Saccharomyces cerevisiae S288C: one gene and its partners. Changing the gene in region 1 together with any one later gene gives a genetic interaction. Each region holds a gene or a part of one and is shown in the gene's direction. Other genes may lie near its edges. The genes, in order: KSP1, FMC1, BTS1 and NNF2.

Region 1 (5,633 bases):
CCTTAACGTTCGTTATACAAAGAATGTAACTTGCAATTTTCAGATGTAAGTAAGTGGGTTGCCCGTCGCTTTTCAACATATCTTTTAAACCTAAAAGAACTTGCTTGCTATTCTCGAACAAAACGTTCAAGACCTGCTCTTGATTAACGGAGTTGTGATGGTTGTGATAAACTCCTTGCATACTCTTGACGATTTCTCGATGGCGGAACTGGAACTTGTTCCGCTTTGTTAGGGATATCTTCAAACTCTTTGCGGACAACTTCTGTAATAAAGAGTTTTCTACGTCCAATGGAGTGACTATCGAACCACTTAACTTCTGGCAAGAGTACAATTCCATGAATTGCGCATCTGAGGCACAGAAAATTATTTGCGTGATCCAACAATCGTACAGCACGGTATCCAGCAACGTATAGTACATCAACTGCTCAGCATCATCAAGTATCCGAGACCTCATAATTTCGCTGATTGCCACGGTGGATCTTATAATTCTCTTCTTGTAACCCTCAACTAGAATAGGTAGGGCCTCATCGGGGTTAGAAAGACGGGACAGAACGAGCATTTCATGGTTACAGGTATGCGATGGGGTTTGTTCCTGCGAGTGCGTGGGTAAGACTAGACCATTCTTTTGACACAGCGCAAGCTGAACAAACAGACACCATGGATCTGTGGCCAATGCCGCCCCTGTATTTGCCTCCAAAAAAACGTTGTAAACACCTAGCTTGTACGTCCCCTCCACAGTCAACTCAGAGCTTCCACCACCGCGTTCTGTGAATGTGTAGGACCTCCGCTGTATTTCTAATGCAACGGCCTCGTCCTTGTCAGTCTGCGCAGCATATGTTTGTAACGGAAATGTGTCAAATATCCGTTTTACTGGCATGGGAACACTGAATGAACTTACCATTGTGCACGATGGCTTCGTTTTAGCCCTATATGAGACGACATACAAGAGGCCTTCACACCATTTATTTCAGCATTCACTTCTAAATATCGTCCCGTTACCCTCATCGCTACTGCCGGGCGTTCCCAACCCCTTCCGAGGCAGATTATATTTATTTATCTTTTTAACAATTTGTCCCTATATAGGCGGGCCGAACACAGCACGTGAAAGAACTCTCAGGCTTCCACAACAGGCCATATCAAGTCCACACTTCCCTCATTACTAGCATTTTTACACAAGCAGTCCACGCATTCCGCAACAGTGTTCACCTTTCTTTTCCCTAACTTATCTTATTATTTGTTTGTTGATCGCAAACAGACCCTTTTTTTTGGTGAGCGCATTTTACACAGTCTCAAGTGTCCTCTACTATAAAAATACAACCTCAAACAGTACTTACTGGCGTCCGCAGAATATTACTGCACTCTCAATCTGTAAAGAATATAACAAGTGACCCATTCCCTTGTTTTATTCAACTTCGAAATCTCTCTGGCTATCTTTGCATGCTTATCTAACTTTCACGTGACCCGGATATTGTTCTCTGCTCAAAAAAGAACTGCAAAGAAGGAAATAGAAAAATAGCATACAGGCTCAAAGCTATAGTTTTCTGAAAAGGGACACCACGAATACAGTAGTATCAAAGAGAAAAAAGACTTCTTTATACTTACAGAAGGTTCATTTTCTGATTCTACTCTTCCAATCTAGTGTCGCAAAAAAACAAAACTTACTGGTATTAGCTGGCAAAAAAAAAAAGAATAGGTTATAATTAAAGACATCTTTTCTCTATAAATTTTTTCTTAGAAGAAAAAGCCAAAAAAAAAAAACCTGCTTCATACCCGCCATCAAATCTTATAGGCCTTATAGACTGCATATTACCGGATTCTTTCTCTCCGTTAACCCTACTATTCTTTCACTATACTTTAACCTAAAATAAAAAAGGAAAAAAAAAATTAAAAACTTCCAAAAACTTAGAAATTTCAAATACAAAACAAAAAGACACGTAAAGTTAGTGCAATATTTTTTTCTTACAATTTTTTGAAACTCGATGACTTTAGATTACGAGATTTACAAAGAAGGAGGTATTTTGAATAATCGATATCAAAAAATAGAGGATATCAGTGAAGGTTCATATGGTTATGTATCATTGGCTAAAGATGTTAGAGAGAAAAGATTGGTTGCAGTCAAATACATTTTCAAATTAGAAGATGACGGCCAGTACGATGGGCCTCAGGACGACGAAAATGATTGTGATAGTAGCGATTGTGATGATGATGAAGACACGAAAGTTGATACGGATCGCCATGAAAATGAAAATGGTAATGCCTCCAGTAATAACGGGTCAAGTAGAGAGAAGAAACACAATCTCTACAAACACAAAAAGTCCCTAATTTCTTCGAAAGTTAAATCAAGACTATCTAATAACATTTGTCTCGAAGCCATGTATGAAGTTGATATTCAAACAAAAATTGGTAGACACCAAAATATTGCTGCTCTATTAGATTTCTTCGACTCTTACATCATCATGGAATATTGCTCTGGCGGTGACCTATATGAGGCGATCAAAGCCGATGCTGTGCCTAAGAAAACCAAATCGATCACTCATATTATCACACAAATCATGGATGCAATTGAATATGTTCATAACAAGGGCATTTATCATCGTGATATAAAACCTGAGAACATTTTAATTTCTGGAATTGATTGGACAATTAAGCTTACAGATTGGGGATTGGCTACTACAGATAAGACGTCTATGGATAGAAATGTCGGTAGTGAAAGATATATGTCCCCTGAACTTTTTGATAGTAATTTGGATATCAAGGAAAGAAAGGAACCTTATGACTGTGCCAAAGTGGATTTATGGGCTATGGGAATTGTGTTTCTTAATATTGTTTTCCATAAGAATCCTTTTAGTATTGCCAATCAATCCGACAAGTCATTCTGTTATTTTGCTGCTAATAGAGAAGCGTTGTTTGATGTATTTTCGACAATGGCTTATGATTTCTTTCAAGTATTAAGGTATAGTTTAACCATCGATCCGGCTAATAGAGACTTGAAAATGATGAGAACTGAACTACAGAACTTATCTGAGTATACATTAGACGATGAATACTATAATAACTTGGATGAAGGATATGAAGAAACTATGATTGACGGTTTGCCACCTCAGCCTGTTCCTCCATCTTCAGCACCGGTATCATTACCTACTCCTATTTCATCTAGTAACAAACAACATATGCCTGAATTTAAAAAGGATTTCAATTTCAATAATGTGAATGAAAGGAAACGGTCAGATGTCTCTCAAAATCAAAATGTTGCAAGCGGCTTCTTTAAAAAACCGTCTACACAACAACAGAAATTTTTCAACCAGGGTTATAATACAACACTATCTACTCATGAAAGGGCTAAATCTGCTCCTAAGTTCAAATTTAAGAAGCGCAATAAGTACGGAAGAACTGATAATCAATTTTCCAAACCAGTCAATATCGAAGATAGAAAGAAAAGTAAAATTTTGAAAAAATCAAGGAAGCCTCTTGGCATACCAACGCCTAATACACACATGAATAATTTTTTCCACGATTACAAAGCAAGGGATGAATTCAACACCAGAGATTTTTTCACTCCTCCAAGTGTCCAGCACAGGTATATGGAGGGGTTTTCCAACAACAACAATAAACAGTACAGACAGAATCGTAATTACAACAATAATAACAACAACAGCAATAACAATCATGGAAGTAATTATAATAATTTTAACAATGGTAATAGCTATATAAAGGGTTGGAACAAAAACTTTAACAAATACAGAAGACCAAGTTCCTCCAGTTATACCGGTAAGTCACCACTTTCAAGGTACAACATGAGCTATAATCATAACAACAATAGTTCTATAAATGGTTATGCAAGGCGTGGTTCTACGACTACAGTTCAACATTCACCAGGCGCTTATATTCCACCAAATGCCAGGAACCATCACGTAAGCCCAACGAATCAGTTTTTAAGAGTTCCGCAATCAACTGCTCCTGATATCTCTACCGTTTTAGGTGGGAAGCCTTCATACCAGGAACACTACACTCAGGATAGTATGGATTCTGAGGGCGATCACGATTCAGACGACGTTTTATTCACTCTTGAAGAAGGTGATCATGATTTCGTCAATGGTATGGACAACTTATCTATAAATGATCACTTACCGCATACAACGGTAGGTAGCCATAATGAAGTATTTGTTCACGCAAGCACTAATCACAATAACAATGGCAACAACAACCATATCGACACCAATAGTACCACTAATCAATATCATAGACAATATATTCCACCTCCTTTGACAACATCATTGCATATCAACAATAACAATAATGAATCTAATGAACTACCAGATTTACTAAAATCACCAGCATCATCTGAAGCACATTTAAATTTATCTTCTGGACCAATTGATCCAATTTTAACAGGTAATATTGGCAATCGATATTCACACTCATCTGACTCTAAGGAGCTAGAGCAGGAGCGTAGACTCAGTATGGAACAAAAATTTAAAAATGGGGTTTATGTTCCACCTCATCATAGGAAGAGTTTCAACTTGGGAACACAGGTACCTCCTATGAATATGAAGACAAGTAACGAGGCCACGTTGTCAGTTTCGCATAATTCTGTTAATTTTGGTGGATCTTACAATTCCAGGCGTTCCAGTGCTAATGAATCTAACCCACTGCATATGAATAAAGCACTCGAGAAGTTGTCCTCTTCACCAGGAGCTAAAAGCTCCTTCGTTGGCTTCCCTAAACCTTTATTACCTCGTAATCATTCAAGCACTACGATTGCGTTGCAAAATGAAGACGTATTCGCAGACTCTAACAATGACGCCATAATTTTCGAAGACGAAGAATACGAAGGAGAAAGTGACAAGATGGCACATGGCAAAATGGAAGGTGGTGACAACGAATCCTCGTCAACCTCCCCGGATGAAAGGCAAATTTTCGGTCCTTATGAAATTTATGCTCAAACTTTCGCTGGCTCCACTCACGATAAAAAATTAGGAGCTGGCAGGAAGACAAGTATTCAGGATGAAATGGTCGGATCGTTAGAACAATACAAGAATAATTGGTTAATTTTACAGCAACAAGACTAAGCGCACCTATTCCCTCTGTTATGTTGCTTATTATTTTCTTCCCTTCTGAAATGCATTTTTAGCTTTTTTCATCAATTTGGCATCATCGTGCATTTCAACTTCTAAGTATGAATGCTTTTTGGTAGTTAAGCTTGAAGGGTTTTATGAAAACTCTCTTTTCTTAGATATTTCTACAGTCTTATATAACGTCAATTCACACAAAAGTGTTCACTGCCAACTACAAGAATAGCATATACACATATTAGTTACTTCAACGAGTTCTTATTGTTATTATAAAAGTATATAAACCCTATAAGCATTTTTGCATTTGTGCTCTCACATCACCTTTAATCATTTTTTCACTCATGTACCAGTATACGTCGACCTCTACTTCTTCCCTCCTTTCTTTTTTCCAACTTTATCCAATCTTTTACTTTTCTTACTACTTGCTTTCCTTATATGATCGGTACTGTCAATAATCTTAGTCGTTGTACTCTCTGCCAGTTCATCGTTTTCAAATTTCGTATGCTTCCCTTGAAAGTTGCTCCTGCTTATAGAGGGCTCGAATTGGTTTTTATTACCGTC
Region 2 (2,930 bases), on another chromosome or scaffold:
AGTAAATATGTCTCGAATAGTTCAAAACATAACCGTAAAAGCAAAAAAGACACAGATTCTGATTCAGACTAAGTACAGAAGGAAGAATGTCGCCATGTTGATGAAAGAACTTTCATTTTCCCTAATTCTTATATAGCGTAAGTATCTGTAAAATAGTTGTGAAAGTTGGACAAATCTTTATATAAAAAAATGCATATAGCTTGAAACTATTTCAGGTTGGGTACATTTTGATAGAATCTGATTCGCAAAATATTTTCATGTCAACTGGATCCATAATTTGACCTGGATTTAAAGAAATTAAGTTTTGCTTTTTCAATGTTTTGGCCAATTTCTTCAATTTTTTACTGTCGTAAACATTTCCATTTGGTAATAGTATTGGATTTTCAAATAATTGAGACTGAATGTGATGAGCAAATGGTAATGCCTGTGTTATTGGTTTGAAAGTCTCACTGCAAACGGGACAATTTTTCCTTTTTAGTGAATGTAGCGTAAAGAGTTGTAAATCTTCAACTTCTTTCTCTGCTGTTGTGGCAGTTTCCGTCTCTTGATTTCCATTTTCATCGTCAGAAGGGTGCAGGCAATCTCTTGTCTTCAAAGACGATATACCTAGTGACAGGTATATCAATAAAGGGTCATTTTGTGATATGCCATACATGGAATAAAAGTCGCTCAAGAATAAATCATTTAATACCGACCATCTTTGATCATCTAATAAATTCAGATATCTTTCGAAATCTCCACTTTGTAAATTTATTAAGGAACTCTTGTCATAGTCTGTTGTATTCACCGCAGGTTTGGAGGTAATTCTAGGTAAAGATTTGTGAAAAAAATGTTGAAATATTCGATCTTTCTTCATTGGTAAACTTTGAGACTTAATCTCTTCAGTATCGAATCCAGAGCTGGTAGAAGAAGTTGGCTTTTGATCATTACAGTATTTGATAAAAATCAGAAGTCCAGATGCTAATTTTAAATCGGTGAAGTTGCTCTTAACGAATGGTAAAAGGAATCTTTGAAAACATACTATAGCGTCGGTATAGTTATCCACCTTTAGTAGTTCAATATATTCTTGCAATCTTGCTTGAAACTCTAATATAGAGGACTTTTTGGTCAGTGTCTTTTTGTTCTCGTTTATCCATGAAATTAGGGGTAAGAGATTACGCTCATGTAGTAACGAAGTCGAAATTCTATTAGCCTCCAAGAGGACATCATAATCAATGAGATCATCCAGTTGGCTCTGTTTCAAAAACACTACGCCAGAGTTCCAATGATCCTTTGTCTCCGAGTTGTATTTAATCGGGTTATTCCTCGTCAGATAATCACCAATTAAAATGTTTGTATAACTCTGATACCACTGTATCAATTTAGTCCTGGTACCCTCATTATTTCCATTGTGCGATGTTCCTGAATTTTGTGACTTGATGTCCTTCAGTTCGTGGAAAAACTCCAGCCTTTTTTTAATTCTGTTCAAAATCTGACAGTAGGACTTGATTTGCGTATTTAAAAATCTTTCTATATGGTCAACTTTCCTAATCATTTCAGTTATTTTTGCTAGTGCCAACTCGTCGTGCTCAACGTCATTATGTTCAAATATTTGATTTAATGCGGCCGTGTGTTCATGTAGTGATTTGGTTTCCTTATTAATTACCGCTTGAGTATGCTTGATACGTTTGGACAGTAGTTCATAAGGAATATGAAATAATTGTTGATTTAATTTCAAATGGAAATCCACATCAGGCTCATTAAATATTGATTTCTCTGCCATGGCTTACCTACTTTCCTATAATTTATAATCATTTTCTCTGTTTTATGTATGAAATTGTAGATTTAACCACCCCCTTCTCTTCGCCTTTGCAAAAAGTGAATATCTCAAATTGCACTAGAGTTTCATTTGCAGCGATAAGTGGATAACAAAAAGCTGAAAAGAGAGAGAAAGAGAGAGTGCCAGGGAAATGGATAGACCAAGAACATTACGCACATATAGAGGACTCATAAGAGCCATTCTGAAATATGAAAGGCCAAGCAAGATAGTCAATTGGGGCAATCTACGAAAGGCAATGATAACAAAGTTGGAATATGCTAAGAAACAAAATCAGAGAGACTCGCATGAGAACATCAACAGACAGTTAGAGAAATGGAAAAAACTAGATCCGGTAAGCGACAGATCTTTGAATTTGTTTATAGCCGACTCTAAGTCATTACGTTCCATATTACAAAACGATATAAAGTGGGAGAAAAAGGTGGCCCAGGGACAAAACGTTGACGAGATATTCGAACACGCTTTGGACATCATCAAGTTCTTGGACAACCAAAGAGAATACGAGGAGCTGGTCGACAGATACAATCCTGGCAACAAGTTGACACAGGATGAGAAAGTGAAAAGAACTGCAAACGTGGTTGGGCTGGACGTTCCGACATAGTATCTAATCAATTTATAATATCAGAGTTTTGTAAATAAGTATATATATATATTTGATGTAAATATCTAGGAAATACACTTGTGTATACTTCTCGCTTTCCTTTTATTTTTTTTTTTGTCTACAAACTCTGTAAAACTTCTTGTCTTATTTGATAGGCATCCCAGAATGAAGTATAGGACCAGGTAAGGTGTTGGGCACCCTGCATAAACCCTGTGTATTTGTTAAATTGTTCACTTAGTTCCCCGTCTGTTCCCACGTGAGCTTTCAGCTTGACCAAGAATGAATCAGCTAGTTGGAAGATTTTTTGTATGGTTTGATTGAAGGCAGGTGTATTGAACTCCAAAATCAAATAGCCTTCGTCATTTCCCAAAGTCGTGAGGTTGGAGAATACCAGCTCGCTCCAAAATGCGTTCGAACAATCGTTGTTCATTGGGACAACCAAGTCATGCTGCTCAGAGATGTGTCTGTAAATGAGCTGATAAAGCGTTGTTGAAGCGGTACACGTGGCCAGGA
Region 3 (3,476 bases), on another chromosome or scaffold:
TGGGAACAAATCAAAGAGATAATTGAATCGGGGGAGCTTGCCCGTTTGAAACGAAGTCGCCAGATGACTGACAAATACCACGAGCATAAGAAAAGGACTGCTGGCCTGGACATGAACCAGTACGTTTTGCAAAAACTAGGCTGGTCGCTAGACGAACCGCAGCTCGAAAATGCTGCCGCGAAGGCTTTTAGTTCTTCTACTCTATATGCTGTGCGTGCCAACGATTTCCCGTATAACTTCGAGCCTGGTGTTGTACACCTTGTTCTCTGGTCCAAGGTTGCCCTGCCAGTACATTCCCCAGATAAGGCCGTGCGCGAAGCGGCCCGCGCTCGCATGAATGCATTTTTGCAGGCACAGCCGCTACTGCGTCCACTTCTAAGCTCGGGTCACGTGGCCTGGTTTGTCAACTACCCGGAACTACAAAGTGTTGCCCGGATTTTCCACGCTCACGTGCTGCTTTTCTTCCCACGGGAACGCTATTCCGCGGAACAGGTAAAAACGACCGTTGATGATATCCTTTCACACGGTTTCGAGCCACTTGCCTGATAAAGTTTTTTTTTTTTTTTTCAGCATGCCAAAATGCTACATACATTTGTTAATTATGTACTATAACCGATACTGGTATTAATGATGCGATGAGCTGATGAGACAGTAGATAAATAAAAGACGCTTCTACCTACACAAGCACATACAATATAATATGCATATGCAACTCAGGAAAAGAAAAAGGGTTGACTATTCAGGGAGAAATCAGACGTCCGATCCTCCTTCAACCACAACGGCAGCGGTACCATCCATTATTGTCCCTAAGAAGCGTAAAGTAGTCGCACAAAACATGGTTAGTCCAGCTATTCGAGCCACAACCACAACACTGGGCACCTCAAATATAATAATACCTAAGCCTCTGCAGCGCCCTAAATTCCACAATAGCGCCAGCCTATCTTCACCTGATGATGATCCCGAAAAGATCTCTGTATTGGAAGTTCAGAAAAATTTGTCCAATCTCATCAAAAGACAACAAAGATTATTTTATAAAGATATACATAAGCCGACTCTCGCCGGCTTGAAAAATTTCGAAATGTTAAGGCTGCCCAATGATCTAAAACTCCTACAAAACATCGTAAACCTATTATATTCATTCGAGCAATTAAACAGTGACTCGAAGACAAGACCAGTCACTACTTCCAAATTAAAGGCCTCCTCTCAAGCGCACTCAGACAAATTGAAAAAAATGCTAGCTGAGAGGAAACCTCCATTTAGCCACCCCAGTCACAGCGGCACTGCCTACCACAATGACATCATCCATGAGATAGCGAATTTGCATTCTATTAACCTGGTAGATTTGATTAATTTGGAAGTATATAATAACAATTGCCATACAAACAACACAGCGTTGCAAACTACGGCGAATTCGCTGACACTTAATAGCATTATCAAAAAGCTTGACAAGCCAATACTGAAAGAAAGAAATAATTCTCTGGTATGGCCCCATAAAAGCAGATTTAAAGCAAAAAGGAACCAACCTTCGCCTGGCCAATCTTTAATTAACAATACAGATATAACTCTCTACAACGATGTATAGCCGCCATCTCTACTCACTCCATAATATTACATATAGATATAGGACAAGCCCGCATTTTCATACTGAAAGGTAAACTTCTATTATTATAGTGGTATCCAACGTTCACCGCTTCCAGCATAGCAGAAATTACGTGTTTTTGCATATGTTATGCTGATCATTGTATGCTTACTACCATTTTTCTTTGCTTCGCCTTGCCTTCTTTGACGTTTTTTTGAAGCAAAAAAAAAGTCAAGACAGATGTGCTTACAAAACCATGTAAGGCTCATTTTCAAAGAAGCTACTAATAGAAAGAGAACAAAGCGTTTACGAGTCTGGAAAATCAATGGAGGCCAAGATAGATGAGCTGATCAATAATGATCCTGTTTGGTCCAGCCAAAATGAAAGCTTGATTTCAAAACCTTATAATCACATCCTTTTGAAACCTGGCAAGAACTTTAGACTAAATTTAATAGTTCAAATTAACAGAGTTATGAATTTGCCCAAAGACCAGCTGGCCATAGTTTCGCAAATTGTTGAGCTCTTGCATAATTCCAGCCTTTTAATCGACGATATAGAAGATAATGCTCCCTTGAGAAGGGGACAGACCACTTCTCACTTAATCTTCGGTGTACCCTCCACTATAAACACCGCAAATTATATGTATTTCAGAGCCATGCAACTTGTATCGCAGCTAACCACAAAAGAGCCTTTGTATCATAATTTGATTACGATTTTCAACGAAGAATTGATCAATCTACATAGGGGACAAGGCTTGGATATATACTGGAGAGACTTTCTGCCTGAAATCATACCTACTCAGGAGATGTATTTGAATATGGTTATGAATAAAACAGGCGGCCTTTTCAGATTAACGTTGAGACTCATGGAAGCGCTGTCTCCTTCCTCACACCACGGCCATTCGTTGGTTCCTTTCATAAATCTTCTGGGTATTATTTATCAGATTAGAGATGATTACTTGAATTTGAAAGATTTCCAAATGTCCAGCGAAAAAGGCTTTGCTGAGGACATTACAGAGGGGAAGTTATCTTTTCCCATCGTCCACGCCCTTAACTTCACTAAAACGAAAGGTCAAACTGAGCAACACAATGAAATTCTAAGAATTCTCCTGTTGAGGACAAGTGATAAAGATATAAAACTAAAGCTGATTCAAATACTGGAATTCGACACCAATTCATTGGCCTACACCAAAAATTTTATTAATCAATTAGTGAATATGATAAAAAATGATAATGAAAATAAGTATTTACCTGATTTGGCTTCGCATTCCGACACCGCCACCAATTTACATGACGAATTGTTATATATAATAGACCACTTATCCGAATTGTGAAATAAATTGATCAATCAAATTAGTGGAGGAAGATAGTCAGAAATAAAGCCTTCTCTCCTCCTCTTTCGCATCTATACATACGATTTCATATATACGTTTCATTGCATCATCTTTTGATATATCTCAAAAAGATCTCTTAGTTCGCAAATAGTCAAATCTTCAAATTTATAGCCTTTATATTTTTTCCACGATTTCTGAAACTCCTTTTTATCAGCACCGTTAATGCTAGCGGTTACTGTCAAATCGCCGGTAAATTCGCGATTTCCGTGCTCTAAAGATGCTGAAGATCGTGAAGATGATGAAGTTGATCGTGAGCCATCCCTAGACATCTCTGTTGTATCTCTATTGCTCAATTCCATGGATAATTGAGACGAACTTCGTGGTATGTTTAAGTTGTTGCTACTGTGAAGGTTATTATTGCTAGTATTGTTAGGATGTGGTGGAGTATATGACCTAATTTTTCCGATGATATTTTTTAATGATGAATCAAAAACGGTCCTGAAGCCATCATACGAATTCGATCTTGTAACATCTGGCCTTTGGATAGTAGGAGTCACGATGTCA
Region 4 (5,146 bases), on another chromosome or scaffold:
CATATACTGGGATTATCTAACATTGAATCCGGAATCAATCCATCAAATAACTTACATGTTTGGTGATAGAGGTACTCCTGCTTCGTGGGCTAGTATGAACGCGTACTCTGGTCATTCCTTCATCATGGTCAACAAAGAAGGTAAGGACACATATGTGCAATTCCACGTCTTGTCGGATACTGGTTTTGAAACCTTGACTGGAGATAAGGCTGCTGAACTGTCAGGCTCCCACCCTGATTATAATCAGGCAAAGCTGTTCACTCAATTGCAAAATGGCGAAAAGCCAAAATTTAACTGTTATGTGCAAACAATGACACCCGAACAAGCAACTAAGTTCAGGTATTCGGTAAATGACCTAACGAAAATATGGCCACACAAGGAATTCCCTTTGAGAAAATTTGGTACCATCACCCTAACGGAGAATGTTGACAATTATTTCCAAGAAATTGAACAAGTTGCATTCAGTCCAACGAACACTTGTATCCCAGGTATTAAGCCTTCTAATGATTCCGTTCTACAAGCCAGACTTTTCTCCTATCCAGACACTCAACGTCATAGATTGGGAGCCAACTATCAGCAATTGCCCGTCAACAGACCAAGAAACTTGGGATGTCCATACTCCAAAGGTGATTCCCAATACACTGCCGAACAGTGTCCATTTAAAGCAGTGAACTTCCAAAGGGACGGCCCAATGAGTTACTACAATTTCGGTCCTGAGCCAAATTATATTTCCAGTTTACCAAATCAAACTCTGAAATTCAAAAATGAAGACAACGACGAAGTATCTGATAAGTTCAAAGGGATAGTTCTTGACGAAGTAACAGAAGTTTCTGTGAGAAAACAGGAACAAGACCAAATCAGAAACGAGCATATTGTTGATGCCAAAATTAATCAATATTACTACGTTTATGGTATTAGTCCACTAGACTTCGAACAGCCAAGAGCTCTATATGAAAAGGTATACAACGATGAACAGAAGAAATTATTCGTTCATAACGTTGTTTGCCACGCTTGTAAGATCAAAGATCCTAAAGTCAAAAAGAGAGTTACGCAATACTTTGGTTTGCTAAACGAAGATTTGGGTAAAGTCATTGCAGAATGCTTGGGAGTTCCTTGGGAACCTGTTGACCTTGAAGGTTATGCCAAGACTTGGTCCATTGCAAGTGCCAATTAAGGCAGCACTATTTATTCATAATTATTCGTAATTATATCTCCATAATTATTTATTCATAAGTTTTCTTTAAGTTTATTCTCTACATCACTAGTTATTACAAATTGGTCGTATGTACAAGCACTAATATTTCATACTTATCGTACTTCATACATAGCAAATCCTGTTAGGAAAAATATGGCAGCAAAACAGATTGGCTGCCTACTTTTGACACATTTTTTTCTAATTCGGTACTTAGATCGGCATGAACTCAACGATTATCGCATTATACGGACAATCTGAAAAAAAAAAGTAGCCTAACTTATGCAGTTGTGTGTTTATAACGTTGAATTCCTAAACCTCTTGAAGGTGTAATATAACAAGTAACATAACTAGGTTTTCACAACTCGTTAGTTTCTATTAAAAGAGGAATAAACAAATTTTATTAGGACTAAGAGGATTATACAGAGTACCAGCAGAGAAAACTTTAAATTCTTTCTGTTATAATAATATCTTACCAAAGTTTTTTGTTTTCTATCTCCACATTTTTCGTACCATCTCTTTAGGTAATCACTCTGAATAACTTTTATTCATATACACCCCAATATTTTTTAAGATTCCACCTATCTCCGTTACATAAAAGGATCCATGCACAATTTTCATGGAGGAACAATTTACTAATCAGAAGAAAGTATCACATCTACAGTCATTAATGAACACTAAAAGGAGTGAACAGCCCACCGAATTTGCCAAAAAACATAGGTTTAAAGATACGCTTGCATTGTTCCTGGTTTTTTTGAGTTTTAACCACTTCACTTCCCTATGTTTATTGGTTTCCTTTATTGTTGCTACCAAATGCAAAGATTTTCTGGCAAATTGTTTTATTATACTTTTCCTATCGAAAAAACCTTCCCGCCATATCGGTGAAGTGGCGCACATAGATATAAGTACTTCCAAAGTGACCAATGGTAGTTCAAACCGAAAATCTAATTCACGATTTTTTGGCAATTCAAAAAATAGCTTCGTCATTCCGATCCCCGTATTAATTTGTGAAATTTTATTTGCAATGTTACTAAAGATTTACGGTGGCGATTATTTTGTTAAGCCAATAAAAAATCTGGCAATTTCTATTATTGCCTCATTTTTGATCAATGATCCAAGCGATTGCTTAAGCTATGCAACTTCATGCTCAGTATTGTATGCTGTGTCAACTAACACTTTTCAAAGAGTGTCACACTTCTTTGACATTATACAGTTATTTGATATGTCTTTACGAGGAACCGGCCAATCAATTAAATTATTCACGGTTTTTCGCAAGTATTCACAGTTTTTCAAAAAGCTTTTCTCTCTATTTTTGCCAATGCCTTTCAAGATGCTTGGCAAACATTCAGACAGTATGATTTATTATCTATCCTTTCACATCCTTTTTTTCTCATTTGCTTCAAGTTTATTACACCCTCATAGACAAACAGCGGAAAACAAGCCATTGAAAAAGGGTTTCAATTCAACTAAACCAGATGTAGCCCGTGTTCAAGGTCTGCAAAAGATGAGAATTTCTTCTTCTTCTTCCGTTTCTGCCGATTCGAACACTTTAGAGGACCAAAGTCCTATGATACCGAACGATCCAGGTGGACTTAGCAGCAGCAATCAAACTATCCATCCATCCCAACAAAATAACTCGCCAGTTCCCCTATCATCACACAGTAATATTTTGAACCCTGCCGCCTCTTATCCTACTGATGCTACTTCTAGTTTTCCCTATTTCACTTCTATGGTCAAGGAATATAAGTCATATCAGCCATCGGTAATCTCTGCTGAAGGAAGCAATTCTCAAGCCGTTACTACTACTACCAGTACAACAACCTCTCCTACAACGTTCAACTTTTCTGGTGATAACACTAGTTTGTCAAATGAAATCTCTCTATCTGATTCCTCGAATGGAAATTCGAAAAAGGATTCTGATTTCTTTTCCCCTTCCAATGACAAGTATACTAACCAACTGTTTGAACTGAATGTTGATTTTGGGAACATGTTTTCTTCTAGCAAATTATCTTCAGACATATCTGTTACATCAAACTTGGAAAATTTTATCCGTCTTCTATTCAGAAGAAAGAATCAACACTTGATTGCACCTCTTTGGTCTATGGTAGTTACATTAAAAACAACGAATTTTGAAAAAAAATACTTACAAGAAACCTCTGAAAATTCACTAACACCAACAAATTCGAATACTTCATACGTCAGTAATCAGGAAAAACATGACAAAGATTTGGACACGATTAATACACATTCAGTTTCATCAAGAATTAGTTTCACCCATGCCGGAAAGTTTAAGAAGAGCGTGTTTAACAATTTCGAACCTTCAAATACTATGGCCCTGATTGCAAAGACAACATCTGATGACTACAATCTTTTAAATTTAGTTTCCACCAATGAAAATATTTTCAATAGAAATGATAATGACTACAAAGTTTGCATTATTGATATTAGCACAAACTCTATTACATTCCATATTGAAAATTTACATGATGGCGAACTCATTGTTTTAGTAAACGGTGTTATCTGGTCAGAAGTTTCTTGCGCTTTAATTTTAGAGCATGTAGGCGAAGAATACGTTGTCGTTAACGGATTAGTCCCTTCTTGTTCTTATGATATTCAATTCATCAACAGACTAAATCACCGAGATGATTATTTGGTTTCTGATTTAATTGTAAGGACTTGTGGGAATAACAATGCGATTGCCGGAAAATTTGAAAACCTTGATTTCAGCTTCCCTTCATACTACCATAGGAAATTCTTATCTCCGTTGCTAACTCTGAAGCATTCCGTGCTAACTACAAACGCAAATTTGTCCGATGAAAGGACAAAATTGAAAAAGACAAAAAAGGAATTCAGCAAGAAGTTAAGTCTTTTGAGACAAGAAATTGATTATTTTAAAGGCAGGATTTCACAGAACGCAACACATGACGAAAAGAGCACTTTAAAAGTCGAAAATTTGAAGGTTGCCCTACAGCAAAGTGAGACTGCGGTAAATAAGTTAGAGATGCAATTGAAAACTCTCACTGAAAAAGAGCTTGAATTAGAAGAGGAATACTTGAAAAAGAAAGATCTACACTTGAAAAATCAATTAGAGTTCAGTAAGTTAGAAGAAAGCTTATCGAAAGACCTGAAAAACTCAGAAGGGAGGTTCCAAAAGGTCAATCAAGAATTAGTTCAACTAGGCTCTAAACTGGACAAATTGAACGCGAGAAACGAGAAGTTACAAAAGGAGGTCGATCAGAACGCAGAAGAGATAGAAAAGTTCAGTACTCAATTTTTGAGTAAAAGAGAAAAGGATAGATTTAGAAGAAAGGAGTACAGGATACGCGAAGCCAATAAATTTGAATTGACTATAAAGGGGTTAGAGCAAGATATCAACAGATTAGAAAATGAGAATGAAAATATACATAGTCTAATTGGTAATAGTTACTGATGGAAGATTAGAAAACAAAGATAGATAAGAATTCGTTTTGTAGCATCCTAAAATTTACTTCTATTGAATATATACATGTATTTATTACTTGGACGTTCTACTTTAAATGTAGTCAGTCGTTTTTTTCTCGATATTGTTTTTTTATTGTTTCCTAATAACTTCATTTGTTACTTTTTTGCCTTTTGTTATTTATGGAAATAATGCAGGTTAACATAAGTAAACATAAAATATGAGAAAAACTAAGAATGTTTGCTGATGTATTGAACAGTTCACATCGTTGTGTCTACTATTAACACTAAGTTGTTGATCAAAACATTCCCTAATTAATAGCTGCCCCAGGACTTGGAAGGCCACACTACTCTCCATGACATCAAAGATACGGCCCAAATAATCTGTATCCTCGATATGAACTTAGGACCACATATTTGGAGCTTGTCCAAAATACTAAAATGGCAGATAACAATTAGATGGTTCCAATTCAAATACATTACAAGCTACGAAAACTAATATTCTATAATTTATAC

Evidence for each region.
Region 2: mutations in KSP1 (region 1) and FMC1 together harm fitness more than expected from each alone (negative genetic interaction), as found in Saccharomyces cerevisiae (2 studies listed by BioGRID).
Region 3: mutations in KSP1 (region 1) and BTS1 together harm fitness more than expected from each alone (negative genetic interaction), as found in Saccharomyces cerevisiae (3 studies listed by BioGRID).
Region 4: mutations in KSP1 (region 1) and NNF2 together harm fitness more than expected from each alone (negative genetic interaction), as found in Saccharomyces cerevisiae (2 studies listed by BioGRID).

Annotation. Positions count from the first base shown.
Region 1 is NC_001140.6:267,895-273,527, reverse strand, and holds KSP1 (putative serine/threonine protein kinase KSP1), read left to right. Parts: upstream 1-1,979; coding exon 1,980-5,069; downstream 5,070-5,633. Other genes in the region: SAM complex subunit SAM35, read right to left, coding at 1-901; LRP1 (Lrp1p), read right to left, coding at 5,436-5,633. UniProt on the Saccharomyces cerevisiae protein: May act on PRP20.
Region 2 is NC_001141.2:179,259-182,188, reverse strand, and holds FMC1 (Fmc1p), read left to right. Parts: upstream 1-1,949; coding exon 1,950-2,417; downstream 2,418-2,930. Other genes in the region: BMT5 (25S rRNA (uracil2634-N3)-methyltransferase), read left to right, coding at 1-72; glucose-induced degradation complex subunit FYV10, read right to left, coding at 212-1,762; SGA1 (glucan 1,4-alpha-glucosidase), read right to left, coding at 2,536-2,930. UniProt on the Saccharomyces cerevisiae protein: Needed for the assembly of the mitochondrial F1-F0 complex at high temperature.
Region 3 is NC_001148.4:422,321-425,796, reverse strand, and holds BTS1 (farnesyltranstransferase), read left to right. Parts: upstream 1-1,904; coding exon 1,905-2,912; downstream 2,913-3,476. Other genes in the region: HTC1 (Htc1p), read left to right, coding at 1-546; YPL068C (uncharacterized protein), read left to right, coding at 701-1,582; guanine nucleotide exchange factor MUK1, read right to left, coding at 3,011-3,476. UniProt on the Saccharomyces cerevisiae protein: Catalyzes the trans-addition of the 3 molecules of IPP onto DMAPP to form geranylgeranyl pyrophosphate. Required for the membrane attachment of YPT1 and SEC4. May be involved in vesicle trafficking and protein sorting.
Region 4 is NC_001139.9:655,149-660,294, forward strand, and holds NNF2 (Nnf2p), read left to right. Parts: upstream 1-1,811; coding exon 1,812-4,622; downstream 4,623-5,146. Other genes in the region: CTT1 (catalase T), read left to right, coding at 1-1,174.